Linked DNA regions of Astyanax mexicanus. The protein of the gene in region 1 interacts with the protein of each later gene in a pairwise test. Links are inferred from orthologs where the notes say so. Each region holds a gene or a part of one and is shown in the gene's direction. Other genes may lie near its edges.

The links.
Region 2: the proteins of ahcy (region 1) and ankrd40 interact in binary tests that used the Homo sapiens proteins (3 or more experiments, as listed by UniProt). The two-hybrid records come from large-scale screens. The link is inferred for Astyanax mexicanus from reciprocal best matches to the Homo sapiens genes AHCY and ANKRD40.

The regions. Positions count from the first base shown.
Region 1 is NC_064412.1:43,550,753-43,567,098, reverse strand, and holds the start of ahcy (adenosylhomocysteinase), read left to right. Parts: upstream 1-8,730; 5' UTR 8,731-8,857; coding exon 8,858-8,885; intron 8,886-13,132; coding exon 13,133-13,323; intron 13,324-14,093; coding exon 14,094-14,169; intron 14,170-16,346. UniProt on the Homo sapiens protein: Catalyzes the hydrolysis of S-adenosyl-L-homocysteine to form adenosine and homocysteine. Binds copper ions.
Region 2 is NC_064426.1:37,172,866-37,188,678, reverse strand, and holds the start of ankrd40 (ankyrin repeat domain-containing protein 40), read left to right. Parts: upstream 1-9,100; 5' UTR 9,101-9,447; coding exon 9,448-9,581; intron 9,582-11,010; coding exon 11,011-11,159; intron 11,160-11,290; coding exon 11,291-11,842; intron 11,843-13,244; coding exon 13,245-13,426; intron 13,427-15,383; coding exon 15,384-15,530; 3' UTR 15,531-15,813. Other genes in the region: tom1 (target of Myb protein 1), read left to right, coding at 2,377-2,416, 5,464-5,558.

The DNA.
Region 1 (16,346 bases):
ATGATTTTGATCTGAGCTGTGTTGTCAGGGGTTGTGCAGACTGGTCTGTACAGGATTGAAAAAAGTAGCTTTAATGTGTTTGTATGTTTTCATTACCTTATTGTTGAATTTATCATTACTATTAAATTTATTGAATATTTTCACTGATTGATTATCAATTTCCTGAAATACAGAGCTGCAGTAATTTTAACGTCAGTGCATCACAACACCTGCTTTCCACACCAGGACGTTTTTATTGTGGCCGGGTGCTAACTCATCAGTATACCAGTGTATATAGTGTATACCAAAACACGTCATACACTGATTCATACTGGTTTTACTGACGTGATATGGTCTTGACAGCATCCCAGTGTTTAAAGCCCAATTTAATGGTTTACACTGGTGTGGTGCTGTTGTTGTATTAATTCACAATAATATCAGAAATCAAAACACATCATATACTGGTATGCTACTTGTTGACCAGCAGACTAGTATTCTAAATGACTAGTTTATCTCTATTTTTTCTCTATGTATTAGCCTACAATTTTCATTTTTACAAGTTTAGCCCCAGCTATTCAGCCAGTCAAAATGGGATAAATGTACAATTCCAACAGTTTGGAAAATTAAACCATCACTGTTTGTGGAAACTTCACACTAGACCTCAAAAAGCTTGGACAGTGTGTCTCTCCACTCTTCCTCCAGACTCTGATGTCTGAAATTTTCTGATGGTCAGTGATGGGTTGGAGAGCCATGTCATCTGCTGGTGTTGATCCACTGTGTTATATCAAGTCCAAAGTCAGCACAGCTTCTAGCAGGAGAATTAACAGCACTTCATGCTGCCCTCTGCTGGAAACTTTTATGGAGAAGTGGATTTCATTTTCCAGCAGGACAAATGTACAGATTGGTCTTATATAATATTCTAATAAGAGATACTTATTTTTGTGTTTTCATTGGCTGTAAGCCATAATCAACAATGAAATAAATAAATGCTTAAAATGGATCACTGTTTGTAATACATTTATATAATATATGGGTTTTACATTTTAAACTGAAGTACTGAAATAAAGTAACTTTTAAATGATATTCTAACTTTGTAAGATGCACCTGTATTGGCATCAAAAATTTGCCTCCCTACAGATTTTGTTGTTTTGATATTTTTCCAATTATCAATAAAAAGCATGTTGAAAAAGTGCTTGGCCTCTAAACCTAATAACTTGGTTGTGCCACCGATAACTGGCATGGAGTCTTTCACATTTCGGTAGAGGAAATTTAGCAGACTCTTTGGCCAGATGTAACTAGACACACACCTTCCAAAAAGTTTCATTTGTGTCATGTCAGTCCAAAGAATATTTACCCAAAGTCTTTTAGCAAATGTAAAATGGGCCATTGTGTTCTTTTTGGTCAGCAGTGTTTTTTTTGCCTTGGAACTCTCCCATGGAGACCATTTGCCCAGTATGTTTCATACTATTGAATCATTAACACTGACCTTAACTGAGGCAAATGAGACTTGCAGTTTTTAATGTTGATCTGGGTTCTTTTGTGACCTCCTGAATGAGTTGTCCATGCCCTTTTTGGAGTGATTTTAGTTGGCCTGCCACTCCTGGAACATTCAGTGTGAAACAGCTCTCAGGTGCCAATGACTTTGTTTCCTCATATGTTTTTCAATTAGTTTTTAATGTGTTGTTCTTTTAGCTGCTTCATTTTGTCAGACAGGTTCTATTTAAGTGATTTCTTAATTTTACAGGTCTGGCAGTAATCAGGCCTGGTTGTGGATAGTAAAATTGTACTCAGCTTTTCAAAACGTGTGATAAATCACAGTTCATTTATGTGGGGGCAAACACTTTTTCACAAAGGGCTAGATTGGTTTGGATAGTTGTTTTGGATAGTATATGACAGCAGGTTCCAGTTCCTGCCAATATCCAGCGACTTCACACAGCCATTGAAAAGGAGTGGACCAACAACCTGATCAACTCTACATAAAGGAGATGTGTTGCACTGCGAGAGGCAAGTATTGGTCACGGCAGATTTTTACAATACTGTAAAACTGTACATTTTAGAGTGGCCTTTTATTGTGGCCAGCCCAAGGTACACCTGTGTAATAATCACTGTGTCTAATCAGCATCTTGATGTGCCACACCTGTGACTGGTGGTTGGTTTATTTCAGCAAAGAGAAGTGCTCACTAACACAGATTTAGATCCAATTGTGAACAAAATATGAGAGAAAATTCCTTTTGTGTACATAGGAAAAGAACAAAACAAAATGTTGCATTTGTATTTTTGTTCAGTGTATTTACAGCAGTGATCACTGTAATAGCCCATAATGCATTGCGGTCACTAAAGCACTCTTGTTTCAGTTATAGTTGTGTTTACTGTTCTAATGTTATTGAGTTATGACTCAATTAACTCTTAGGGCCCTATTTTAGCAGACTAAAAACACACAAAAGGCATGTGCTAACTCTCTTAATTAACCATGGGTGTGTTTTGGGTGAAATGTGAAATAGACCAATTAGTGTGCCAGTTCTCATTCCCTTTAAGAAAGGTGCACTCTGACTTTGGCATGTTTGTATCTTAAACAGCAAGGTGCTTTGTGCGTCTCAGTGCCTGTGTGTTCGCGCTGTGAAGGTACACCAATTTATTTAAGGAAACAGCAATGTTACTTTATTCTTGAATCTGTTCATTGTTGAGTTTAAAGTCAGGTTTGCGCTCTGTAGCGTGACCACGTTTGTGTTTAACGAGCAGGGGCGTAGGCATGGGCGGCACACTTATAGGAATGGACTTTGACTGACGATTGACTGTTATCTAGGTTCTTTTCAGTCAGTGGCTCACCTGTGCTTTCCGCTGCCAAAATAGCAACATGCCAGAAATTTACCTGAACACACCTCATGAGCAGGAATGAGCATCATGGCGCACCTTGCATGATAGGGCTCCCAGTCTCCACTAAGCTTTGATCAGTCATAATGGTATGTCTGGTTTCACCCACCAAGTGCCAAGTGTATTTTTTATTGTAAAACTTGCTCTTAAATATTTTTTCTTTATATTTGAGTGATATTAAAGTGTCTCACAAAAGTAAGTACACCCCTCACATTTTTGTAAATATTATATTACATACCGCTTGTATTACAGGGTAAATTTGCTGTGCCCTCAAAATAACTTAACAGACAGCCAGCTATCAGTGCTGGCAGCACTCATACAGCCGCAGACCATAATGCTACCACTACCATGTTTGACAGTAGACAAGAGACAGTTTTCTTGGTGCTCCTAACCAGCATGTGAACATGTGGACTTCTTTGGTCAACCCTGGGGAGGCCTGCTTGGAGAGGAACCTGTCTGAAAACTTCTGTATGACCATGGCCATCATGCTGTATCTTAGTTTTAGGGTGTTATTAATCTTCTACTACCTTATGTCAACCTTTCATGATTTCTTTTTTTCCATGTTTGTCACTCCTAAATATTTCAGATCATCAAACAAATTTTGCACCCTAAACCTAATAACTGGTTGGGCCACCCTTAGCTGCAACTGCAATCAAGCGTTTGCAGTAATTTGCAATGAGTCTGTTACAGAAATGGAATTTTATTCTACTCCTTTTTGCAAAATTGTTGTATTTCCACCACACTGGAGGGTCTTCGAGCATAAGGTCATTTTAAGGTCATGCCACAGCACTTTGACTCGGCCACTCCAAATTGTTCCCTTTGTTTTTCTTCAGCCATTCAGAGGTGTACTTGCTAGTGTGTTTTGGGTCATTGTCCTGCTGCAGAACTCAAGTTCGTTTCAGCTTGAGGAAACAGATGACCGGACACTCTCCTTCAGGATTTTTTGATTTATCACAGCACCATGCTAACATCACCATATTTTATTATAGTAGGGTGACCAAACATCCGTATTTCCCGGGACATGTCCGTTTTTCACGTCCTGTCCCGGGCGGCCCGGGTTTTTTTCAAAAAGTGAGGAAATGTCCTGGTTTTTAAATTACCGTCATTGGACCATTAAATATACAGGCACTAGGGCACTGCGCACGGTGCTGCGTGTGACATAATCCCCAAGCCGCCTCAGTGAGAGCAGTAGACAGCGTGTCTGAGCACGCTGTGGTTCTCTGGAATCACATAAACTTATTTAACTTAGGTGTGATAAACCACAGTTAGGGCCATGTAGGTTAGGATTTTTTTTCTCCTTTTAATAATGAAAACCTACATTAAAAACTGCATTTTGTGTAAATGTGTTTGATGATCTGAAACATTTAAGAGTGACAAACACGCACAAGTATTTATTACACTGTATGTGTCAATACATGAATACAGTTTTCACTATATATGGCCATATATTTCATATATGACATATACTGTATTTACATATATCATATTGTAGTGTCTGGAGATTTCAACCATGCTCTCTTCTCATCATGTCTGCCCACTTACAGCCAGTTTATGGACTGCAAGATTAGAGAAAACAAGACACTAGATATGTTGTATGCCAATGTCAAAGAGACATATAAATCCACAGCTTTCCCTCCGCTGTGCTGTTTAGGCTATAATATGGTTCACTGACTCAAAGACAAGCAAACTTACATTTGTGGTATTTTTAGATTTTGAGTGAAAGACAAACACAAAGTATTGCATAAGTGTGAAGTGAAACGAAAATGATACATGGTTTTCAAAATTTGTATTAATTAGTGTGATGTGCAAAAATATTTTATATCAATACTTAGTAGAGCGACCATTTGCTGCAATTACAACTGTAAGTGCTTTGGGGTTTGGTTACCTGCTTTGCACATCTAGAGACTAGAGATTTTTGCCCATTCTTCTTTATAAAACAGCTCAAGCTCAACCAAGTTGGATGGAGAGCATCTGTGAACAGAAAATTTCATGTCTTGCTACAGAAGCTCAATGCGATTTAAGACTGAGCCATTCTAGCACTAATATTATTTGATCTAAACCACACTACTGTAGATGTGGCTGTATGTTTTGGGTTATTGTTTTGCTGGAAGGTGAATCTCGTTCTCAGTCTCAAGTCTTTTGTTGCCTTCAACAGGTTTCTTTCAGCTCCATCCATCTTCTCATCAACTCTGACCAGTTTCTGTGTCCCTGCTAAAGAAAAGCATCTCTACAGATTGATGGTGCAACCACCATGTTTTACAGTGGGGATGGTGTGTTCAGGGTGATGAGCACCCTGTTGAGTGTTACTTTTCCTCCCCATAGGGCGCTTTGCGCTTAGGCTAGACAATTCAACATTGGTCATATCTGACCACAGCACCTTCTTCCACATGTTTGCTGCATCTGCAAACAGTAATTCACATGTTTCTTTTAACAATGGCTTTCTTCTTGACACTCTTCCATAAAGGCCACATTTGTGGAGTGCATGACTTATGATAGCTGTCCTGTGAACAGATTCTCCCACCTGAGTTGTGAATTTTTGCAGCTCCTCCAAAGTGACCATGGGCCTCTTTACAGCTTCTCTGATCAGTGCTCTCCTTGCTTGATCTGTTAGTTTGGGTGAATGGTCGTGATTTGGTAGGTTTGCAGGTGGAGAATACTTTTCCTTTTTTTGGACGAGGGATTTTACAGTGCTCTTTGGGATGCTTAAAGCTTGGGATATGTTTTTAGAACCTTACCCTGCTTTAAACTGCTTCACAACTTTATCTCTTACCTGTCTGGTGAGTTCCTTAGTCTTCATGATTATTTTATTTACTAGCGTTCTCTAACAAACCACCACTTAGGCATAGACAGAACAGCTGTATTTATACTGAGACTAAATTACCAGAGGTGGAAAAAGTACTGAAAAATTGTAATTAAGTAAAACTTCCTTTACTTTGCTAAAATTCTACTCAAGTCAAAGTAAAAGTACCCATCTAAAAATCTACTCGAGTAAAAGTAAAAGTACTCAATTTAAAATGTACTTGTAATATAGTTACTTTTAATTATTTGATGTAAAAAAAAACTGTTGGTTGGCGCATGCGCTGTGCTGTAAAGAAGCACATATCAATGGGTAGCATAACTCGACAGTTCCCCCGGGTACAGTTGATTTTCACAGCATCTCTCCCGCTAACCATAATAAACACTGCTGGGAAAAGTTCAGCTGCGCTACCATGAAGAACAAAACTCTTTTTTTTTTTTTAAATGAAAATTAGTTTTTTCCCCCCAGCATTTTATTTTTTACTCAGTAATGTAATGTAGCGAAGTAATGTTGCAAAGTAAATTACTTGTGTCACAATGTAGTTGAGTAAAAGTAAAATTACCTATTTAAAAAAAAAATACAAATTACTCATAAAGTCTGTGTGGTTATAAGGTGACAAAATGTGAAAAACGTTCAAGGGGTATGAACATTTTTTTTGCAAGCCACTGTATTCTGGGGGGTTTATGTGTTGGGTTTTGTCTAATTCTTTTATTCTTCTGTTAAACAGAAAACTTCAAGTCCCATGAGTCACAGAGAGATCTAGCAGGCGGGTCTAAGAAAGGGTTGTTGTAGCATGACTGGACACAGTAATGCACTGTTAAAAAGAAACACGGCAGTTTCAATTTAAAGTTCAATTCAGTATAAAATCAACACACACCATACAGGTAAATCAGAGCAGCACATTTAGAGGCAGACTGCTCCAACTGCACCGTGTTAAAGAGCACCATGCCAGATCATTCCTACCAACTGCTTTACTGCATACTACTAGAGCCAGCACTGTTCCCTTACTGTCTAAATTGTTCTAAGGCACTACAATTCACCATACAAATGCCTAGATAACACACTGTACAAATTATTATAATCTACTATGTTACATCACAAAATACAGAGAATAGAAGAAACAGGGGTCATTATGATCATTTAACAGATCAAGTGTTTAATGTATTGCTCACTCAAATCATCTGTGTTCAAGCCCAGGAACTTGATCTCTTTAAGTTTCCCTTTAATCAAAATTACCTGACAACCTAATTAACATACTGTACGCAAATCTCTTAGTCCCATGTTTCATTCACAACAGAACATGGAACACATATCAGATGTTGAAATTGAACCATTTCACAATTTCATAAAAAGCTCAAATTGGGCAACAAAAGGCTGGAAAAGTAAGTGGTACTCTAAAAAAATCAATAGGAGAAATGTGCAACTAATAAAAAGACTTTTGATTATTCCACCATATACAGTTCATACTACCATGACAAGACTGACAAGGCTGATATTGGATAATAGTAATCTTTTCCATACACTCCACAAATGCAAGTTAAAGCTTTAAATAGTTTCTCAAGTTTTGATAAATCTGACAGTACAGTTTCTATCTTGCCTAGAGAGGCGGGCAGCCTTTCTGGATCCTATGGATCCATGGCTTTGTCTTTAACTTGCATTAATTGATTGCATGGTGAACTGTGTTCACAGTTTGTAATATACCGAAATATTTCTTTAATATTGCCCTTATATAAATATAAGTGTGTTGAAAAAAAAAACACTCTCTAATTTCGAAACAAGCAGGAACAGGAGCACACAAGGACGGAGAGTTCTGACCCACAGAGACCTGATATCAGTTGAATGGTCAAAGGTCTACAGTTGGGTTGTGTGGATCTGTTTGTTTCACTAATTATTTGCATTCTGGGAGCAGAGAGGAATGAAAGGACACTTGGTAATGTTTTACTGTTGTAATGTTTTAACTACTGCTGTTGTCAGTGTTTTTGAGACATCAGACATCAGAAATTTGAACTACAGACTGGATCACTCCATCCAATTTAACTAAAAAAAATAAAGAAAAAAGAAACATGAAATATAAAAAACATATATAATAAACTAGCCATCATCAGGCTGTCTTTTGGCTTTCTAAAAGGGGTGGTTATCCCAAGATGACAGAGTGGGCAGGAAATTCTTGGACACGTTTAAAACGTTTTATATTTCTAATTTTAAAAAGCTGAATATGAATATTTAAAATTAAACTTTTTTGGATTAGCTAGGTAGTTAGGCTACCTATTTTACTAATTAATCTGCCATCTATGTTAAAAGGTGTTAAAAGTAGATTATGAAGGACTTTGAGCTGCGAACTGGTACAGCATTCATGTCCTCAGTTATAGGATATATTCTGTGTCCAAGCTTCCTCATGTTCAATGCTAAATCTCTCCAATAAACTTTTACATAGCACATTAAAAGACTCCAATTTAAAAAAGTACCAAAACTATCCTGAGATATTATTAAATATCTCATGTTTGCCAAACATACCATGCAATACACCTAATTCTATCTTCCTCCTAAAATACAGGAAAGTTCTAGCCTTTATCTAAAAATATTGTTGTAATTACAATTAGTTAAACCCAGATAGCAAAGGGATCTTCAGTCAACGGTGAGTCAACATCCCTTTTCTATCTCTATAAGTTATTGACACCATTAGTATAAATATAGTTAAATTTTGCATTAATCTTACATTCATTATTTTATTTTTGTTTAAATATCCACTATATATATATATATCACTATGTGATATGTGTGTTTTTAACTGTTTGACACTACTACATTAATTGTCATTTTAGGTATTTTAAAAACCATTTTGGCCTTTTAACATGTAATTGTAGATATAATAAACTGCTCTTTTACTAGTCAGACTGTAAGTGCAGAGACCTCTCTTTTTTCTGGACAGTCATAAATTAATGCGAAGAAGTTTAAAATTTAATGGTACAGGATTTGACAAAACCCATCCACACCCACCACCCACGTAAGACATTTATTGGCCACCTCAGAGTGTGGATAAACCAATGAGCAAAAAGAGGCGTGGCGTCTGGGGGTGTGCTCTCATGAATATTCAGCGAAAGGCGGTAACAGATTCTTCAAGTTCCCGGTTCCGTTGCTCCCCTCTCTCTCTCTGTAGAAGTCAGTAAGCGGGACAGGACTTCGGTTCAGCGGCGAGAAAATCATCCAACAATGTCCGAGAAGCTGCCATTCAAAGTCGGTCAGTATTTGGAAATGCTTCGTAAACATGCACCTTTTGATTTCACTCCAAAAGCAACGGAGCTGTCTTTTAATCTGATCTGTCTCGGGCGCCAGAATGCAGCCGCTTCACCATTTAAGGTGGAACGGATTATTCTAATGTTAGTTGTGTTATTGTGAGGCTCGAATTGATTTATCATATCGAATTTAACCAATAATGAGTGTATTGTTCTACTCGCTAATATCTATATCGTTACAAACATTTCAGCTAGATAACTTTTGTAAAATACTAACAAATCCGGCTTTCTCTCTTCGCAACCCTGCACTTACCCAGCTACGTATTTATATTATTTTTAATTTAGACGCTACATATTACACTAAACACCTGCAGAAACACATTCAAAACGTGTGTGTGCACACTAAACGATGAGCCACTTCTCCAGAGAGCATGCTTTCATTTGCAGCAGTGCGGGGAACCCATGTTGGAAGTTGTAGTTCTTTGTGCACACAGTGACACTTCTTGCGGATCAGTCTCTCAGCCATAGGGAACTACATTTCCCATGAAGCTGTAATGCTGAACTCTTATTGTTTCTTCAAGTCTTGTCGGAAAACGCTTACGAGACGAGTGCACATAAACCCCACCACCACATTTGACCAGTGGGCAACTGGGATTTTTCATAAACCCCGAATGTACGCGTTGGGGGCGTGTCAATAAACAGCGCTGATTTAACAGCAGCTGCAGTCCGTTTTTATTGGTTTTTATCGTGGCACGTGAGAAAATCAAGTAACGTCAAAATCAAGTAACGTTACATATTACTACTTCTGGATCAAAATATCGCTTCCAAAATCCTCATACTTTGTTTTAGTTTGTATGTGTTTGCAGTTTTGTTATTAAAGTAGACGAGAAAATATATATTTTTTATCGTGTTAATGTTTTTTTCCCGACCAAAAAAACGTAAACTGTTTAAAGGAACTGTTGAACTGTTCAAGTCGGAGGTAGAGCTGAAGGCAGCATTAGCGGACAGTTTTGAAACCTTACTCAGAGTATTAATGGACACGTGGTTGAACTAAGACTGAACACATGTCGTGTTTCAGTCCCATGATAAGATGAAGGTGCTGTGCTGGCTGTATTGATTGTATCGATTACATCACCAGATCTTTTTCTATTAGAAGTCTGTGTCAAGCAACACTGAGATGAAAGAATGTGTAACTGGTTAATTTTTTTTGTTGGACTTTGTATGGCTGGATTGAGGGTCCAGAGATCAGCTTTCAGAAATAAGGTGACATTCTAAAAGTGTTGGGGACCTATTGTAATAATAATATTATGATTATTATTATTATGGGGTTGAAAGTTAAAGTTCTTAAAAGTGCGTGTAAAACTATTAACACTGGTAATATCGTGCTATTTTATGTGCATAGTGCACTACGCCTAATACAAATACACACACCTGGTCTGTGCCTTAGTTGCATTTTGCATATTTGTGGATGAGGAGAGGAACCGAGATGGGTCTCCGGTTTACTTTAAATCAGTTAAAGTCAGTTAAAGACACGCGTGTTTAAAAAAAAAAAGGCTCTTATGTGCGGCTCACGGCAGAGTCTTCTTTGTATGTGTTTTTCTGGGTGAACTGGTCTATGTACATTACAGCACCACCTCGCCACGAAGGTCGGAATTGCAATAGCTAGTTCACTGAGTGCAGCACTGTCTAAACATTAAAAAACACACGTTTTATCATTAGGTGGAGGCTGCCATCTTGTAATTCACTGTGATAATTAAACATGCTTTATATTTAATTGTAATTTTATATTATATTGCAAAATAATTTCTTTATCAATAAACATTATCAAAAATAACCTGAATAAACATAAAGCACTTTTCAAATTATGATTTTATTTATTAAAGGGGAAAAATATACATTCAAACCAATCTAGCCCTGTGTAAAAAAATGCCCCTAATAATAATTTAGTTGTGCCACCCATGGCAGCAACAACTGCAGTAAAGCTTTACCAATAACTGGCAATGAGTCTTTCACATCTTCTTCTTTACAGGATTGTTTTAATTCAGCCACATTGCATGGTTTTGAAGCATGATCAGCCTGTTTAAGATTATGTCACAACATCTCAGATTTTGACTAGCTGACTCGAAAACATTTTTGCAAACCAAACATTGTTGTTTTTTTTTGTACCATTCTGAGATGCATTTGTTTGTGTGCTTTCATTCTTTGTCCTGCTGCAAAACCCAAATACTGCAGAGCTTGAAATGACAAACAGATGGCTGCACATTCTTCTTAAGGATTGTCTGGTAAACAGCAGAATTCCTGGTTTCATATATTACAGCAAGTTGTCCAGCAGAGACCATCACACTACCACCATGTTTTACATTCAGTATAAAATTCTTGTTCTGAGATTATGTGGTAGTTTAACGGCACATGTTACAGGAGACACAATTTCTAAAAAGTTCAAATTTTGTCACATCAGTTCAAAGGCTGTTTACCCAAAGTCCTGGAGATCATCAAGGTGTTTGTTGGTAAATGTAAGATTGGACCATTGTGTTCTTCTTGGTCAGCAGTGTTTTTTGCCTTGTAACTCTCCCATAGAGACCATTTCATCCGGTCTCTTTTTTATTATTGAATAATTAACACTGACCTTAACTGAGGCAAGTTGTTCTGGGTTCTTTTGTGACCTCCTGGATGAATTGTCCATGCCCTTTTGGAATAATTTCTGCCACTCCTGGTTTCTCCATTTGTGAATAATGGCTCTCACTGTGGTCAATGACTGTTTTCTTATGTTTTTTCTTCAGTTGTGGCATAATGTGGTTTCTTGAGTCTACAGGTCTGACAGTAATCAGGCCTGGTTGTGGGTAAAGAAATGGACCTTTCCAGCTTTCAAAAAAGTGTGATTAATCATAGTTAATTTATATGGGTGGCTAGACTGGTTTGGATAGTTTTTTCCCTCAAATAAAATCATTTAAAAGTGTTTTTTTTATATTTACCCAGGTTATATTTGTCTGATTTATTAATCAGTCAATCTGAAAAATGTAAGTATGACAAAAATGCAAAAATAAAATAAATCTGTAATATTTCATGCACTATATATGTGTACATACATATATATATGTAGGTTTGCATTATCTTGTTTTATTTTATATATATATATATATATATATATATATATATATATATATATATATATATATATATATATATATATATATATATATATATATATATATATATATATATATTAATCCTGCTCAAAGCTTCAAGCCATATGATTGTTTTCATTGGATCAGTTACAACTTACAGCTGTTAGGTGGTGTAGGTGTAAATAGTTAGTAGCTACTAGCTCTAACATGTATACTAGTTTTTGTGGTGCAACCTGTTTTGATTTAGTAATGGGCAAGTGTGAATTTAGTATACAGTTACGTTACAACTAGACTAGGTTTGAACTTGCACACAACCCACCAGATGATGAAGGGGTGAGATGACTTGAAACTTAAGCTATGTAGAAGGTATTTATAGGACACTAGATGAGTCGGGGCTCAGGGCATGTTGCTCCTCCCATACTTAAGTTATTCCGTTTACTATTTAAATGGCTAGTTACCTATAGTGGAAATAAGGAATTTCTGATTACTGACTGAATCAGATGACTAAGTTGTCTGGAAATTCTTTTAAAATGCAACTTTGTTGTGCTCTCTGTCCAATATAAGTATGACTCCATTGTGTGAAAATAGCTATTGTAATTTAAAATGTTGTAGTTGCATAATTGTGCTTCTCTTACCAATATTTGTCCTTAACCAATCATAAATATACAAAATGCATTTAGTGAAGATGACCTAAGTTGCCAATGTCATGACCCTAAAACAAGTGCACAAACAAATACAACACGTATTTTAAAAAGCAAAAAAGCATGTTGTCTGTAGTCTTCTTTTACTCAAGTAAGGATATTCTCCTCAACGACAGACTTCTAGCACCTATAGGTCTTGTAACTTATTGAAGGAGAGAAAACGTCAGTAGTGAGATGTCATTAATAACATTAGCTAGACTGAAGAACATTAGAAATGCTCCAAAGGAGAATTTGAAAGTAAATAATAATTTGCTCAAAGAATATAAACTCTGAATTCTGCACAGTCCTAAATTATATCTTTTAACTTCACTTTGAATGTCTGCAAATTATTTATTTTTCCATTCTGTGATTCAGTCTGTGTTGGCCATACTTTTCAGACTTCAACAGACTATCTCTCCTTTATGGTTCTTTTGTGTGTGTATGCAGCTGATATAAGCCTGGCTGAGTGGGGGAGGAAGGCAATTGACATTGCGGAGAATGAGATGCCGGGGCTGATGAAGATGAGGGAGGTTTATGGACCAACCAAACCTCTGAAAGGAGCTCGTATTGCCGGCTGTCTACACATGACCCTTCAGACCGCTGTCCTGATCGAAACCCTCACTGCACTCGGAGCCGAGGTGAGCGCTAATCCTGATCATAATATTGACCTGGTTTATAGATTTTAGAGTTGTAAACCCCCAGAGAGCCTTACCCAGAGACCTCTTTATAATTAGTTTTAAAATTATATTAATGTTGGGCTTAAAACAGACACGTAAACCATAATAAACAGCTGCTCACCACTTACAGGCTCTCAAGACTAGCGGGTATACAATCCACACTGTAATACATTGATTACTCTTAAGATGTTTTATATATTTAATAGGTGACCTATATTCAAATGTCTAACATACCCGTCATTCTGAAACAACCTATAAACCCTAAAAAAGAGTTTTGTATATGTGTTTCTGGCTGATTAATGTTGACAACACAGATTCCCTATTGAGTCAATTTAATAGAAACTTTTAAAGTATCTTTAATAGATACTTTCTCAGTGTTGCAAAGTGAAGTTTAGGCTCATGGCAGAATAAATTATTAGCTCTGTGTTCTGAAACTGTAATTATATTTAATAGGTAATGGTTTGTGTTAATTTCTGAGTGAGTGACTAGGAGTGAAACTATTAAGGATCTGCTGGTATGTTATGAAAATCATGAGAGGAGTCTCTTTGTTACTCTTTTCATTGGTTTCCCTGTGGAACTGGGATTTTCCAGCCTCAGTGCTGTGCTGGTTTATCAGTAACAGACTTCTCATAAATGAGCAAGCATGTAAGAGAGCAGGAGCCTGAAGTTGCAACTGAATTTAAAAACTGACAGACTTAAGCTGATTTTATATGTTTACCCCTCCTCTTCAGGTCCAGTGGTCCAGCTGTAACATCTTCTCCACTCAGGATCATGCTGCTGCAGCCATTGCTAAGACCGGTGTCCCAGGTGGGTGTGGGGGTGTGGGTGTTTAGGTGTGTTCGTTCATCCAGACAAACTCTCTAAAATGGACTCTAGTGATGGGACAATACCATTTTTTTTTTTTATTTTTTTTTTTTTTAGGGAAAAGTCTTATCTTAATAGCATATTAAATTATACTACTTTTCAATTTAGTCAGTTTTATCAATTATTTATATTTATAAATAATTATCATTTATTTATTTCTATTTGTTTTTTGAGGATATTTATTTATTTAGACTTAGATTAGACTTCATTTATTGTCATTCTTAATACACTCCTGTATGCAGAATTAAATTTCGTTGAATTGACTCGCAAAAATACAGAGAAAAATAAATACATTTAGCAGCATGAATATTAAGTATAGATATATCACATAGATACACAATGTACATCTTCAAATATATACACACCTCTATGATAGAATCATAAATATCTATAAATAAAGTGACTTGTGCAGTTAGAAATATGTAAAGTGTGAAAAAGTAAATAACTAGTACTCAGAGTTTTCTTAAATTGACCAAGGTTTTAGGAGTTTAGGAGTAACATTCTAATAGCTTGGGGGAAAAAACTGTTACAGAACCTGGTGGTCCTGCACCGCATACTCCTGTATCTTTTTCCAGAAGCCAGCAGGGAAAACAGACCATAGTGAGGATGTGAGGGGTCACTGATGATGTGCGCTCGTGATATGCAGCGTACTAATGCAAGGTCCTGGATGGGGGGGAAGAGAAGTCCCAACGATTTTCTCCGCTGTCCTCACCACTCTCCTCATATTCTTCCAGTCAGAGGCGCAACAGCCTCCACACCACACAGAGATGCAGCTCGTCAAAATGCTCTCTATGGTGCTTCTGTAGAATGTAATGAAGATAGGCGGGGGCAGGTGGTTTTTTTTTTTTTTTTTTTTTTTTTTTTTTATATCCTGGAAGTGCAGGCGCTGTTGGGCCCTCTTGACCAGTGACATGGTGTTTACAGACCAGGTGAGGTTGTCTGTGATGTGCACCCCTAGGAACTTTACGCTGCTGACCACCTCCACAGCCATGGTGTTAATAAAGAGAGGAGTATGGCTGGGCTGGTTCTTCCTGAAGTCGATGATGATCTCCTTTGTTTTATCCACATTCAGGATCAAGTTGTTAGCACTGCACCAACCCACCAGCAGGTCGACTTCCTCTCTGTAGGCTAGGTCGTTGTCATCTTTGATGAGACCCACCACTGTAGTGTCGTCTGCGAACTTCACAATGTGATTAGTGGCAGACCTAGGGACACAGTCATGAGTCATCAAAGTGAACAGCAGGGGGCTCAGTACACATCCCTGAGGTTGAGGTTGACGGTGCATTGTGTCGGTACTTAAAATAGGTTGGAGAAAGCTTTCTAAAAATTACTAGATGTTCTCACTGTTTACAAATGTCTTTTGCTTGCTTGTGGTTGTACTTAAACCACAAATGGGAAATTTAAGTGAAAACAAAATAAATAAACTTTTTTAACCATTTCTTTATCATCTGTAGTTTGATTTTCAGTAGGGGGAAAAAATGGATGAAAATTAAAAAAATAGATTTTTTTTAATCGTAGATGTTTTTTGGGCCATATCGCCAAGCTCTACTTTTAGTCTGGGCGTCAAAATGTCTTAATTGTTATTGTCCAAGTATATGGTATTACCAGTATATGGTAAGCCTGGCAGCCTATGAAGTTTGATCAAAGCTTCCTCAGTGCAGTTGCAAGAAAATATGTGAACCCTTTGGGATTACTTGGATTTCTGTAAGAATTGGTAATTAAATATGTTCTAATCTTCATCAATAGACAAACAGTCTTCTTAAACTAATACCACACAAAAATCTATCTTTGCATGGTTTTATTGAGCATAACATGGTAACATTCGCAGTGCAGTACTGGCTAAATATTCTGTGGATAAATAAAACCAAAATTTAGTTGTTTTTGAAGGAGAACACAATGCTATGTGTGGAGGAAAAAAGGCACAGCACACCATCAACACCTCATCCCTGTAAAATATGGTGGAGGGGTCATCAGAGTAGTCTGTTTGATTCTAGCATGTTTTATCTATAACTTTAAGGGGGGAGGGTGGTGTAAGGATATCTTGATCACTGAAATTCTACCTGCAAGTGAGCCCTTTAGCTCCAGGGATAGAGGTTCACATGAAACTTATGCATTAAGGT
Region 2 (15,813 bases), on another chromosome or scaffold:
TGCTTCCACCCCCATGCTTCACAGAAGGGATGGTGGAGTTTTTGTCATTATTCTTCGTCCTCCAAACACGGCGAGTGGAATTAAGACCAAAAAGTTTTATTTTGGTCTCATCTGACAACTTGAACTGTCTCCCCTTTCTTAGGATCATTGATTTGCCACAAGTTGAGATCTTGCATGGAGCCTCAATGCGAGAGAGATTGACAGTCATGCTAAGATTTTAAATCTTCTATTTTCTAATAATTGCTCCATCAGTTGATCTTTTTTCACCAAGCTGCTTGGCGATCGCCCCATAGCCCTTTCCCATCTTGTGGAGGTCTACAATTTTATCTCTGGTGTCTTTGGACAGCTCTTTGGTCTTTTGGTCATATTAGTAGTTGGTGTTTTATTGATTGTGTGGGGTGGACAGGTGTCTTTATGCAGCTAATGACCTCAAACAGGTGCTTCTTATTTAGAATAATAAGTGGAGAGGAGATGGACTTTTTAGAGGTGCACTAACAGCTCTTTAAGAGACAGAATTTTTGCTGATTGGCAGGTGTTCAAATACTTATTTGCAGCAGTAACACACAAAATAATTATAAAAAAAAAAACATACATTGTGATTTCCAGATTTTGTTTTTTTTTTAGATTACATCTCTCACAGTGGACGTGCACCTAAGATGAATATTTCAGATCCCTCCATGATTTCTAAGGGGGAGAACTTGCTAAGTCGCAGCTTGTTCATATATTTTCCTCACTTTACTTTACAAAATGTACAAATATTTTCTATTACAGTTAGGATTAGTAACAAGCATGAAACCCTTTGATGTAATGCTTGAATATGAATTCTAAAGATATAGGCAAAAATTGACAAAAATGCCTAGGTAATAAAGGTTTGAGTAAATGTACCGTATTTTTCGGACTATAAGGCGCACCGTATTATAAGACGCACTATCAAAGAACGCCTATTTTCTGCTATTTTTCCATACATAGGGCGCATCGCATTATAAGGCGCGTTAAGTGACACTAGAAAGGGTGCCTATATCAAAGTGAACAGGGGTGGCGCCATGTTTCCCTTCCCCCACCGGGGGTGGTCGCTTGCCGGTGGAGCGTCTCAGTATATATAAATCTAGCTCTTTCAAAGTCAAACGAGTGCTGGATATTAATCTACACAGATTCCTCTCCTGAAAACTGTTTATTTGGGTGAGTAACGTGCTTCAGTTTATTTACAGTAAGCTTAGATTTCCAGATGTCCACTAAGGCTTGCTGCACCAGCGTTAGCATAGCTATCCGCTAGCACGCTAGCTAGTCACCTAAACTAGTAAAGTTAACCCAAACTTAAACGACAGCGTTACACTGAGTAATCCTGCGTGTTCTGGTAAGACAGTGAGATATTAGCTAGCGATTCGTCCCCCGTAGCTTGTTTTAACACGGTAAACAAGCAGATTACAGGCTGATAAAACTCACCTCTGAGAGAGTTAGCGCTTAGCATCTAGCTAATGCTAGCCAGGCAAAGCAGCACAGACTTACAGGCCGATAACTCACCTCTGAACGGTGAACGCTTAGCGATTAGCATCTAACTCTAATAATACTGCTCCAGCAGTATTAAAAGTGCTAAATTTAGAAAATACTGATCTCTGAACAGTGAAAAAGCTAGCTAGCTAAGCGGTTAGCATCTAGCTAATGCTATTGCTGCTCTGCACGGAGTGTGTGTTTACTGCTCCTTACACCTGACGGGTAAAATTTAGATAATACTGATCTCTGAACAGTGAATAAGCTAGCTAATGCTATTTGCTGCTCCAGCCTCGGAGCTGCACGGCTCTGGACTCTGTATAGCACTGAAACTCTGTATAACGCTGCACGGAGTGTGTGTTTACTGCTCCTTACAACCTGACGAGTAAAATTTAGATAATACTGATCTCAGTGAATAAGCTAGCTAGCTTAGCGGTTAGCATCTAGCTAATGCTATTGCTGCTCAGCCTCGGAGCTGCACGGCTCTGGACTCTGTATAGCACTGAAACTCTCTATAACGCTGCACGGAGTGTGTGTTTACTGCTCCTTACAACCTGACGAGTAAAATCCATACAAAAGGCGCACCGTATTATAAGACGCACTGTCAATTTTTGTGAAAATTAAAAGTTTTTAAGTGCGCCTTATAGTCCGAAAAATACGGTAGTTATCAAGCAATTTAGTTAGATGCTGGTTTACCACCGGATGTTTGGAATTCCATAGTTTTTGCTAACAGGAAATGAGGGGGAGCGTAAATGTTCTGCCATGGGATCAGTCCTGAAGATGTGATTTCAGATTGTGTTAATTTCTCTTTACTCATGGGTTTTGTGGTGTGTGTACTCTGGAAGAACCGAAACATTATTTCTGTTTTTTTTTTTCTCTGTGGTGCAGGATGACGAACTGGCAGATTCTGAAGGTGTGACTAGTGAAGGTAGAGCCCATCCTTTTTTCTACTGCACTTTTCTGTATTGTATTTAAACCGGAGGAACCGTAGTATACAATAATTAATCTCTAGACCAGCGGTGCACAACTCCAGACCTGGAGGGCTGGTCTCCAGCACCTCCTTAATTAAGTGGTGATTAACTGAGGAGTTGAATCAGGTGTGGTTGAGTAGGCCAACTTAGAAACTTACACAGCCCTCCAGGAGCTGTGCACTCTGTTTAGGATTAAGCTTTAATGCTGTATATGATGCCAGTATGATGCTAAGACTTTATACAGTAAGTAAATTAATTAATAATTGATGAATTACAGAATAATAAGCTTTTTTTGAGAATAGCACGGAACAACTGCATTTATTATGGTATTATAGTACCATTGCATAGTTAACTAAATGTCAGCTTAACGTAACATATTAAAAAAACATATTTTATTGTATTAATCCCAGAATCATTCAAAATCATTGCGTTTTTTTTTTGCATTATGATGTGATATCCTCAAAAAATGCAACAAAAAAAAAAACATGTATTTGCTCATATTAACATTTTAAAATATATCCTTGCCATTTGGGATCAGCAGGACCCAATTAGTAAAAACAAAATTAGCTTTGTACAGAAAGTAAATAACATAGTTTCAAATATAAAATTCTATGACATTAGAATTTTATGTGTCTGTCTGGACTGGCTGTAGAAACTTTTGACTGGGATTCCCGCCATCTTGTTTTCAATCACTTAACTATAATGTTGTCATGTGACCACTAGATAGTGCAGGCGGTGTCTCCATATTAATCTAAAGGGTCAACCTTTTAAAAAATTAAGTATACTGGTGTAGAGAAGCAGAAATGTAATGTCCTCGTATGAGGACGCTGGGTCTCAAGAGGATATTTATATATTTTTTTTAAACCTTTCTGTTACCTTCAATTTTACTACTATCTTTTATTCTTGGGTCAATTTGACACCAGCAATTTTAATCTCCTGAAAATTCTTATATAATAATTTAAATTGTTACACAAGTTTATGTCACATGCTATATTTGTTTGTTGACTACTTAAATATCCTTTAAAAAAACGTTTACTTAGATGTTATTTTCAGTTAAGAGAGCAGAGAGACAGAGCACTAGGAGAAATGGTTTAGAAGGCTGCACTAAACCTTCTATATGTCTGCACTACCACTTATGTATGAATTATGAATTATGTATTCCCCGCCCCCTGTTGTGTGAACTGTCGTGTTTCTCGCACTTTTCCAGTTGTGGTGATGTCAGGTTAGGGCTGTAAAGTTTTTCAAAGATTATAAGATTGCATGTCATAGTGATTTTTTCAACATTTTAAAGCGAAAGTGTGTAAATTTTGCTGATTTAAAAAAAAAAGTTTTATACAGCTAAAACTGCCTGGGCTCAAACAGAACCCATTAAACATTGAAGTGTGCAAAATGTGTACAGGATACTGGAAACATGTCATCATGTTCATTTTATATTTACCCAGTTGGCCTCATTAAATTAATATAAAAAAGTCACTAAATATGAGAAAAAAATCAGAGCAATCATTTATTTAAAGAAGTTAAACTGCTATTATTGAAAGATAATAGCAGGGTTAACCCATCCTCCCTCAATGTAAACTACATTACTGCTTTGCATAGAAACTGGCAGTAATATCAAATTTTTGCATAGGCTACAGACTGTACTCGCTTTGTGTTTTAGATTGTTGTTTTTCAAGCCTGGTGTGGCGGCTTATTGCCCTGCACATTTTGGTGCTAGTCATCTGATTAGTTGGATCCGGTGTGTTGGGAGCAGTAAAAACTCCAGAACCATGGTTGAGAAACACTGTTTTAGATCACATTCACACAGCAGGCAGAAGTGGCATAAAACAGAGAGGTGTTATATACAGGGGTTGGACAATGAAACTGAAACACCTGCCATTTTAGTGTGGGAGGTTTCATGGCTAAATTGGAGCAGCCTGGTGTTCAATCTTCATTAATTGCACATTATTGTGCCAGTAAGAGCAGAGTGTGAAGGTTTAATTAGCAGGGTAAGAGCACAGCTCTGCTTTAAATATTCCAATGCACACAACATTATGGGTGACATACCAGAGTTCAAAAGAGGACAAATTGTTGGTGCACGTCTTGCTGGAGCATCTGTGACCAAGACAGCAAGTCTTTGTGATGCATCAAGAGCCACGGTATCCAAGGTAATGTCAGCATACCACCAAGAATACCAACCACATCCAACAGGATTAACTGTGGACGCTGTAAGAGGAAGCTGTCTGAAAGGGATGTTCGGGTGCTAACCCGGATTGTATCCAAAAATCATAAAACCAGATGTGCACCAGAACTGTCCGTCAGGACAATAAATTATTGTGGTCTAAAACCAGGTGTTTTAGTTTCATTGTCCAACCCCTGTATATGGCTGAAAATACACTGAATCTGACATCATCCAATTTGCAATAATGCGGCTTTGTCTGGACAGCTAGATTTGAAATCAGTTTGATCTTTAAATTAAGGACAAAGCAAAAGTGTGCTTAAGTACACAGGAGAAGAATGACAGCAGTAAATGAGGTTTTCAGAGGTGTGATAATGAGGTAACATCCCAATATTTGGGGCAATATCTCTGTTTAAACTTAATTCGACGGCTTGTGTTGCAACACCGCCATATTTCTGAAGAAATGTCTGAATGTGGCGTGTCTGAGAGAGATAAAAAGCCTGTAAAATAAAGTTTAAAGGGGGCAAGGATGCAAATCAAACAATGTGCCCTTTTTACAGTGAGCTGAAGCAAATTCTCAGTCTTCATCCCAAGCTGCAGCCACTGGAACTCCTCGATCGCTCCTGTGATGCTGAAGAAAGTGAAAATGAAACCGAAACTTCACGTGAAGCGCATCTCTTTAGCCCAGTTTAAATGAATGTAGGATACAAGTCACAGTAAATGCTTGTGTTAACAGCCTAAAACATTGGCAAACATTGAATTTGTTGAGAAAATCTTAACTTTGCTGTGTGAACAAAGCCTAACATCATCAGAAATAAATCATTCTCATTCTCTTTGTCTCTCTTGCAGAGTTTGACCGATTCTTGGCCGAGAGAGTGAAAGCAGCAGAGCGCCTTCCTTCTGTGAAAGCATCGTCTCCTGACCACACGCCCTCAAAATCATAGTAACTGCAGGGATAAGGTTACAAACAAGTATGACTGGTAGTATAACATTGCTCATAATAAAGGTTTTCTCTTGTGTATAGTTCTGTAGCAAAGGACCATGTTACATACAGCTCTGGAAAAAAATAAGAGACCACTTAAAAATGATGAGTTTCTTTCATTTTACCAAATTGAAAAACTCTGGAATATAATCAAGAGGAAGATTGATGATCACAAGCCATCAAACCAAACTGAACTGCTTGATTTTTTGCATCAGGAGTAAATGCATAAAGTTATCCAAAAGCAGTGTGTAAGACTGGTGGAGGAGACCATGATGCCAAGATGCATGAAAACTGTGATTAAAAACCAGGGTTATTGCACCTAATATTAAGGTCTGAAAGCTCTGCATCTTTTTTGTTATTTCAGACCTTTCTCAATTTCTGCTAATAAATGCTCTAAATGACAATATTTTTATTTGGAATTTGAGAGAAATGTTGTCTGTAGTTTATAGAATAAAACAACAACGTTAATTTTACTCAAACATAAACCTATAAATAGCAAAATTATAAATAGCAGACAAACTGATTCAGAAACAAAAGTGGTCTCTTAATTTGTTTCAGAGCTGTATATTATGCATCATGTATTGAGTAGCTTCACAAAGGTTTGTTACGATAATCTTAATTCACAGTTCATGACAGTTTTCTTAACACCAGTAATCTTAGTTTCCCTGTCGTTGATGACAAATAAGGTTTTAGGTGTTTTTTAATTATGGGTTTAAGATGATTATAATTTAGCTAATATTTTAAAAACATAAAATTTATTTTATCCAGCTTATTCTGTGTGATGACAAGGAGGGTCCATGTTTATTTGATTTGTGTCAAATCCTCCGGTGCAGCAGCCACAGACGCAGCTTCCCTTATACTAGTGCATCTAAAAATGTTTGAATATCAATAAAAAGTGACTTTATTTCAGTAATTTAGTTCAAAATGTGAAACTCATATATTATATAGATGTATTAAACACAGATTGATCTATTTTAAGCATTTATTTCTTTTATTGTTGATGATTATGGCTTACAGCCAATGAAAACCCAAAAATCAATGTCTCAGAAAATCTGAATATTATATAAGACCAATTGGTACTTTTGTCAGTGTGGGCAGTGTGCCAAGTCCTGCTAGAAAATGAAATCCACATCTGCATAAAAGTTGTCAGCAGCAGAGGGATAATGTAAGGCTGTAAGATTTTGTGGGAAAACAAAACTGCACTGACTTTAGACTTGATAATAAAACACAGTGGATCAACACCAGCAGATGACAGACATGCCTCTCCAAACCATCACTGATAATCAGTACATTTTACATTTCATTTGTAAATCAAGGGAGCAGAGTCAAGGGATCAAGTCTAAAGTCAGTGCAGTTTTGTTTTCCCACAAAATCTTACAGCACTTCATGCTTCCCTCTGCTGCTGACAACTTTTATGGAGATAAAAGCGGATTTCATTTTCCAGCAGGACTTGGCACACTGCCCACACTGCCAACCAAAAGTACCAATTGGTCTTATATAATATTCTAATTTTCACTATTTTTTGGGTTTTCATTGGCTGTGAGCCATAATCATCAACAATAAAAGAAATATGCGCTTAATATAGATCACTCTGTGTGTTTAATACATCTAAATAATATATGAGTTTAACATTTTGAACTGAATTACTGAAATAAATTAATAGCAATTAATATGAATTACTATGACCGGATATTCTAACACAAATGCAGAAGAAACAAACTCTTGGCAGAATAAGGTGGATAGACAAGAGGTGCTGCACAATAGTATATAGTTTTACATGACAATATGCCATTCTCTGCTTTACCAGATTGTTATACAGTTAATATTTTTGCCATGAGCACTTTAATGGAGTAATGTTAGCTGGAACTGCTTGTACTCACACTTTTTTGACAGACATTTTATTGTATTTTTCATAATAAACACTAATAAACAGTGGCTATCAGAAGTGAAGTGGGCTGTAAGTTTCTGTTGTGGTTAAAAGAGAAAATGTCTAGTTTGTTTTGTCTGTATTAAAGTCAGCATTCACTGCAAATGGTCTTACTTGATTTCTTATTTTATATTTATGTAATATGTAACATTATCAAACTACACTGTATGAACATATATCACAGATTTTCTGTTGTAGTACTCACATCTAAATGTATAACACTGTGTTGATCCATTTTCTAGATTTACACATTTATAACCAATACAAATCACATCACTCAAAACACTTCAGAAGATGGTCTGAGACGCATTAAAACAGGTACAAATCTGATCACTAAAGAGACACATTTGAGAATATTGTATATCATCCCAAACTGACAAACAGAACCTGAATGAAGTCCAGCAGAGGGCGGTAACATTGCATTTTAAACGCCATTCCTGTTACTGTGCTTTTTATAAAGGATTTCTTTCTGGGAGTTGCACGTGTTTATTGTTTTGTTCTGTTGCTAAACTTCCTACTGCATTGTTTTTGTCACTGGTCCAGTTCCTATATGAAGCCGTTTTATCTGTATTCTTTTGTTCTTTGTTATAAATGAACATAACACTGTTCGTAAAATCTAAGAATTTTATTATTATTATTATTATTATTATTATTATTATTATTATTATTATTATTATTATAGATTTTATTATTATTATTATTATTATTATTATTATTATCATCTAGTGATACATTATTACTTAAATAAAATATAATATATTAGAAAATAGCTAGCTAGTTATGACAGGATATTCTAGTTATAACTTAGGACTTAATAACAACAACAATAATAATAGTTGTTATTATTATTTTTTATTATTAATAATAGTATTATTGTTAATATTGTTGTTATTATTATTACTGTTATTATTATTAATAATATGATTATTATGATTTATATTGTGTTATTATTATTATTATTATTATCATCATCTAGTGATAAATTATTACTTAAATAAAATATAATACATTAAAAAATAGCTAGCTAGTTATGACAGGTTATGCTAGTTATAAATTAGGACTTAAAAACCACAACAATAATAATAATAATAGTTGTTAATATTATTTTTATTATTATTATTAATATTATTGTTAATATTGTTGTTATAATAATAATAACGATAATAATAATAATAATAATAATAATAATAATAATAATAATAACATTATTTAATGATACATTATTACTTAAATAAACTAGAATACATTACAAAATAGGTAGCTAGTTATGACAGGTAGCTAATGCAAGTTATAAATTAGGACTTTATTATTATTATTATTATTATTATTATTATTATTATACTAATACATAATTACTAAAATAAAATAAAGAGCTATTTACGACAGTTAGTTAATGCTTGTAAATAAAACAGGAAATGAGTATCTGAGATAAATACAATATCGGGAGGATATCGGCCTTTTATTGAAATTTAACTTTAAAATATGTCGTAAAAAAGAGCAGTTTGTTTTTTTTAGCTTAAGAGCTTCAGTTTAGTAGAGGAGTCTAGATAGGAACCCAGTGTAGCGGCTCGTGTTGTCACACTGTAAAGTGACCCCCATAATGGGCAGAGCCGACAGGGGTCTGAGCGAGTGCGGGGAGGGTAATAATAATTAGCCTGCTGCTGAAACAGCCGAAATAAAGTTATAACTGGAGGATAGTTTGAGTAATAAACAGCGCCGCGGTCGCCTGAAGGGTTTAGTAGGGGCGCTTATGGGTTTAATTTGGGTTTATTAGCTAATATAGCTGTTAGCTAACTATCCCGGCTAGCTAATTTGATGAGGGCTCGGTGGGAAAGCCCAGCTAAGCTAAGCTAAGCTAGCTTCAGCCGCCGGTTCACTAAATCTCCCCCGTTCTTATGAAAGTTAATCGCTAACTATCTGAATTATGTCCACCTCGTCTTTAGACAGAGAGCTGCAGGAGCGGCTGAGAGAGGCGAGCGCTATCGGAGACATTGATGAAGTGCGGAATCTGGTGGAGAGCGGCGTCAACATCAACTCTCAGAACGAAATCAACGGCTGGTAGGTGTTAAATAAGCTGTTATTCTGCTTTAAAATGCAGTTTAATGTGTTTAAATGGCTTTATCTGGTGCTGTAGACATTATAGACCAGGTTACACTATTATCCAGCACTGTTGTATTTGTCTTTAAACAGGAAATACACTGTAAATCCTCAGCTCCACCCTAGCAGGCTAGCTCTGTGGCTAACATAGCTATAGTCGTTTTAATTATACAACTGACACAAGCTGTAATCAAGTTTAAACTGGTAATAAGTCTTATTTCTAGTGTTTACTGGTTAATATCAGCTGAAATGATAGTCCATTCTGCCTAGACCAGTTTCACATATCCTTATTTCCTTAAATGAATATTGACTAGTTACTATTCATTTGCATCGCATTTCTCTCTCTTTTTAATCTATAATTAAATTTTTACTACTATTTGCTCTAGTTATAGATTACATATCAAATTACTTCTTTTGCAAGTAGCGACTTTTGTTCCATATACAGCTCTGGAAACAAATTAAGGGACCACTTCAGTTTCTGAATCAGTTTATAGTGATATATTTGAGTAAAATGAACATTGATGTTTTATTCTATTCCTAATAAAAATATTGTCATTTAGAGCATTTGTTTGCAGAAAATGAGAAATGGCTGAAATAACAAAAAAGACACAGAGCTTTCAGACCTCAAATAATGCAAAAAAAAAAAAAACAAGTACATATTCATAAAGTTTTAAGAGTTCAGAAATCAATATTTGGTGGAATAACCCTTGTTTTAAGTTTTCATGCATCTTGGCATGTTCTCCTTCAAAATTCAAGCAGTTCAGCTTGGTTTGATGGTTTGTGATCATCCATCTTCCTCTTTATTATATTCCAGAGGCTTACAATTTGGTAAAATCAAAGAAACTCATATATGTTGTCTCTTATTTTTTCCAGAGCTGTATATAAGTGATTCTCTTTTACATAACAATTTCATATTTTATTGGTTATTTTTAAGTGACGCTCAAGCTATTGTTTCCTTTACATTTAATTTTGCAGTGTAGGTATCTTGAAGTACACTTTCTACAAGTCAAAAAAGTAACCTGTAACTAATAAAAAAAAATTATGAGAGTGAAATTACATGCAACTCAATGGTAATTCTGACTAGTGAACATTCCACTAAGATTACATTTATAGATCTGAGTCCTGACTGGCTGTGGTGGCTTGTGATCCCTGGAAGCTAGCAATAGACACAGCTTTGGGTTATCCAATTAAGCAGCTTGCCAACATTTGCTTAAATCCACCTTATACAACTAAAGAGTGAACAGGCTTTATTCTATCCAGTGCTTGTTTGCGGCAGGTTTGTGTAGAGTTTAGCTATTTTTTTATTTTTCTATTTTAGCTAGTTGTCTACTTCTTTATGTAACCCTTACTTGACTTTTTATTATTTTATTTTTTTTTCCTTTAAACCTAGGACGTGCCTACATTGGGCATGCAAGCGAAACCACAAGCACATAGTGGCTTATCTTCTGAACTCTGGAGCCGACAAAGAAATACTCACTGCGAAAGATGAGTTAGCTGTTCAATTAACCTCCAAACCTGAAATCAGAAGACTTCTTGGAGGTACGTATATATACACAAATGTCAAGATTTCAGTTTTTACAGTTTTACAGTTGCTATGCTTTTCTTTTCATGCTATGCATTTTTTTTTGTCTAAGCTGACACAATCCACTCTCGTCTTTCTCTCTCCACAGTGGAGGAGGAGGATGTGCCTGAGGTAAAAGAGCCAGAGCTGCCAATCATTCCGAACTATCTCTCCAACCCGCCCTTCCTGTACAGCAAGATGGATAAGGAGGAACTAAACTTACCACCACATGTTTCTCAGAATGGCACCGCTGACCATTCGGAGGTTGTAGACTCTGAGCCAGCCACTCTCTCTCCCACACAAGAGCAGCAGCAGCAGCCGCCCCAGAGCCAGCCGGCGGTGTCCTACATCTCTGTGGTGGAGCAGAACGGCATTGTGTCAAGCCCGGTGGTGAATGGACCCCTCTCCATGGAAGTGTCACCTGAGGCGCACCACAGCAACCACAGTGAATACACCCACAATCACACAATTTCCCAGAATGGCCCCGTGTGCCCCCCGCTACCCTCGCCAGGTGCGGCCCCTAGTCAGGCGCCCGTCTCTAACCCCACGGTGACACGACAGCAGTCTCTGCCCCAGCAGCTGAACTGCTCGCAGTCTGGAGGCTCCATGCCTGCTTTCCAGCCCTTCTTCTTCACCGGCACCTTTCCAGTCAACGTGCAGGGTATGTGATGGGTTGGGGAGTCTTTTCGACTATTTGTCCACTGCAAGTTTAAATGGTAACGAAGGCCAGGTTACAGTTTCTTTTTCCATTTTACTTTGTTGCTAAATCTAATCTTTACTCAGGGTAGAAATGTGAGATATCAGTTAGCATGCTAACCTGCAAAATGGAAGATTCTAACCAAATGCCAATGGAGAAGTTTTAGCATTAACGACTGCAACACTTCTAAATCAGTAGCATGCCGGGTGCAAGTGTCTTCCATCATTGCTATTTCAGTGTTAACTAACGCAGCACTACTATGCCAGCTACAGCAGTCATCCAGTACTGCTATATTAGTGTTAGCATCCCGTATAATCACAAGCCTTATCTAGTATTCCTAATAAACTCATCCAGTTTCACTACCAAACCATTAGCACGCTGGCTACAGGTATCTTCCAACATTGCTACTTCAGTGTTAGCTTGTTTTCTACCGGTGTCATCTTACATCGCTACCAGACTCGTACAGCACCACTACCGCAGCACTAGTATGCCAGCTACAGGTATCATTCAGTATTGCTTGACCCATCCACTTTTACTACCAAAGTATCTACTGGCCTCATTTCACATCTCTACCAGTTGTTTTGAACAACACCACCGTAGCACTAGTATGCCAGCTACAGGGATCATCCAGTATTGCTAGCTTAGTGTTAGCATCTTGGCTACAGGCCTAATCCCATATAATTTAATGGCCTTGTCTATTTTTTTTCTACTACCCTGACTACCCAGTGCCCGAGTAGGGAAGGGGGGCCCATGAAAATCCAGATTTTTATTCCGCTCATGTTCCTTGTGTACTGAGACCAATAGGGGCCCACTGACATTGAGAGTGTACAGGGCCCATAATTTGTTGCTACACCCCTGTTCCTACTAGACTCATCCAGTTTCACTACCAAAGCATTAGCACGCTGGCTACAGGGTGTCCAGCATCACTACCACTGTGTTGGCACATTGCACTAGCAACCTTATCCAAAATCACTACTGCAGTTTTAGCATATGCACTGCAGTTGTCTTCCAGCATTGCTGTCTTAGTGTTAGCATGTTGGCTACCAACATCGCTACTGCAGCACTAGCACACCAGCTACCACATTGTTAGCACGTTGCCTAGCAACCCTTATCCAGCTCTGATGCTGGCCTCATCCATCATCGCTACTGCAGTGCCCGCACGCTAGCTAAAAGTTGTCCAGCATCACTACCACAGTGTTAGCACACTGACAACAGGCCTCATCCTACAATGCTATTACTAATCGCCTGCAGCCAAGTTTTTAACCTTTTGCCTTTTAAACTAGAACTATGCTATCTATTTTGAACCGATGATGCTTTAGTGCTGCTGTTAGTTAGTGATTAACTCGAGCACCCTCTTCTCCATCAGAGCTGGTCCTGAAGGTGCGTATCCAGAATCCTCATGCCAGAGAAAACGACTTTATCGAAGTGGAGCTAGACCGACAGGAATTGACATACCGGGCACTGCTGCGTGTCTGCTGTCGTGAGCTGGACATTAGTGCTGAACATGTGGAGAAGATTCGCAAGCTTCCCAACACCATGCTTAGAAAGGTATGTTGTTGCTTTTCTACTTTTTCCTTGGAAGAGACTCAACTCTTAGGGTGTACCCTTTCAAGCTACACAAATCTGGTATTGAGAAGTCAGGTGTCTAAAAGTTTTCCATCTCCAGATTGGCTGCTGTCACCCTGTATGATATTATGTGCATGTGGAGTCCAAATTCTTCCACAGAAAGCCACATTCTGATGACTTAAGCATCATCAGGCCTGGAATGTTAAGCACAATGTGAGAATGTGAGGAAATGGGGAAGGCTAAATTCGCTCAGAGTCAGGGTACAAGTCAACCCTTTATTATGATTATGGTGTGGTTATTTACATATTAGATGTATTGTAGTTCTTATATATTCCGTAATTGGTTTGTCACACTAAAGTACACAAACTAAAGCACATAAAATAGTAATTGCTGAGGCTTTCATGAATCCAGGAACAAAAATTAATAATTAAAGGCCAAATTAGTTCCCCTAACATTGAAATTTCATTCCATGTTTATTTGTTGGAATTCTAAGACAGTCAGTGTGAGTGTCAGTGTGTTGAAATGAGCTGTAATACTAAAGTCCAACAGCAGAATTGATACATTGGACATTGGCCTTTGTCATATATTTAATTGGTGTATACTGCCATAATGTAGCTGGAATGGAATAAGGCCAGTAAAGGCCAATGTAATGCTTAAGACGTATTACTGTACATTTTGCAGCAGTTCCTTGTCTGACACAAATATTACACAATGCAAAACTCCCTTTTTCCTAAAAATGGTAGATAATGTTGAATCGCTATCTTGTAGCATTGAATGTCTAGTCCAGGGGTGTCCAAACTTTTTTGTTGGGGACCAGAGGAAGAAATAAATATGAAGTCACGGGCCACAGACAAATAATGAAATAAACCACTTTAAATAATACTTTTTTCCTGATTATTTCATTTAAACACCATTTTACGTGACTTACTATCTTTTTCTTTGACAGTGTTGTGTAAACTAAGATTTTTCAAATTGATGTTTAATTTCATGATGTCTCTTAATATAAAACTCCTTAATTACGGCAACTTGTAGACCATCATAATGTAGCTGGAATGGAATAAGGCTAGTAAAGGCCAATTTAATTCTTAAGTAGTATTACTGTACTTTTAGTTTCACACACATTTTGCAGCAGTTCCTTGTAATCTTTGTATGTGTTGTTTTATTAAAGCACCTTTTGCTTCTTTGTACAAAATAACAGATTATGCAGATTATGAACAATGGAAGAGTTTCATTCCAACTTTTTTTTATTTTATTACACATAAATTACACAATGCAAAATCATTTTTCCCTAAAAATGGTAGATTATGTTGAATTGCTATCTTGTATTGTATTGCATTGAGTTTCTAGTGTGTAAAATCTGCTCTCGAAAACAAAACGGAATTAGCAAATTACATTTTTAGTAATTTTAGTAATTTTATTTTTTATTACACAGACATTACACAATACAAAACTTCTTTCCCCCCTAAAAATGGTAGATAATATTAAATTGCTATCTTGTAGCATTTCATTTCTAGTGTGTAAAATCCACTCTCTAAAACCAAAAGGAATTATGTATTACAATATTTTTAACTTTTCAAGTCTAAATTCTACAAAAGCAGTCCAAAAGCAGAATTGTCACATTGCCTTAGCCACATATTTATTTGTAGACTGTCATCATTTTGCTAGAATGGAATATGGCCAGTAAAGAGTATATGTTTTTATGAACACATCTTATTCATGCTGAAACTCTATATATCTATGCACATCTATGTACTGCCAAGCACTCATGGAATCCAGATAGGCTAGACCAGCAATCAGCAAGATGTTATCAGTGGTCACATGCCAGCCTGCTTTGTAAAGGTACAATAGTCCTTCAACAGCTCTGTTACATTCACCACACAGCTAATAATGCTCTACTTTTGTCTTGTTTTTGTGTTTTTGCTTGGTGTTGACTTTGCAGGACAAAGACGTGGCTCGGCTACAGGATTTCCAGGAGCTGGAGGTCGTGTTGGAGAAGGCGGAGGGGTTGTCCCTGTACTCTGGTGGCCCAGGTGGACTGACGGATAGGCCCTGCTACAACATGAAAGCCTCCAGGCTGACTTACTAGCTCCCAAACCCAGCTGCAAACCCAGAAACAGACTGGCTCTCTCCCTATCCGGGATTCTAGCCCTAAAAGCCCAACTTTATAGCTGTGTTTAGTTCTAAAGTCCTGCAGTCAGATATATCCTTCTTCTGTTTTCTGTTTCCTCCCTTACACCACATTATCCATATGCCATACCCCCTCCAAACCACATCACAAAAAAATGCCTGTGGACGTTGCTCATGCATGGTCCTGTGGTGCCATTCATATAACTCTGTGAGGAGAGGAGCTCCTGTGTAACATAGTTAGT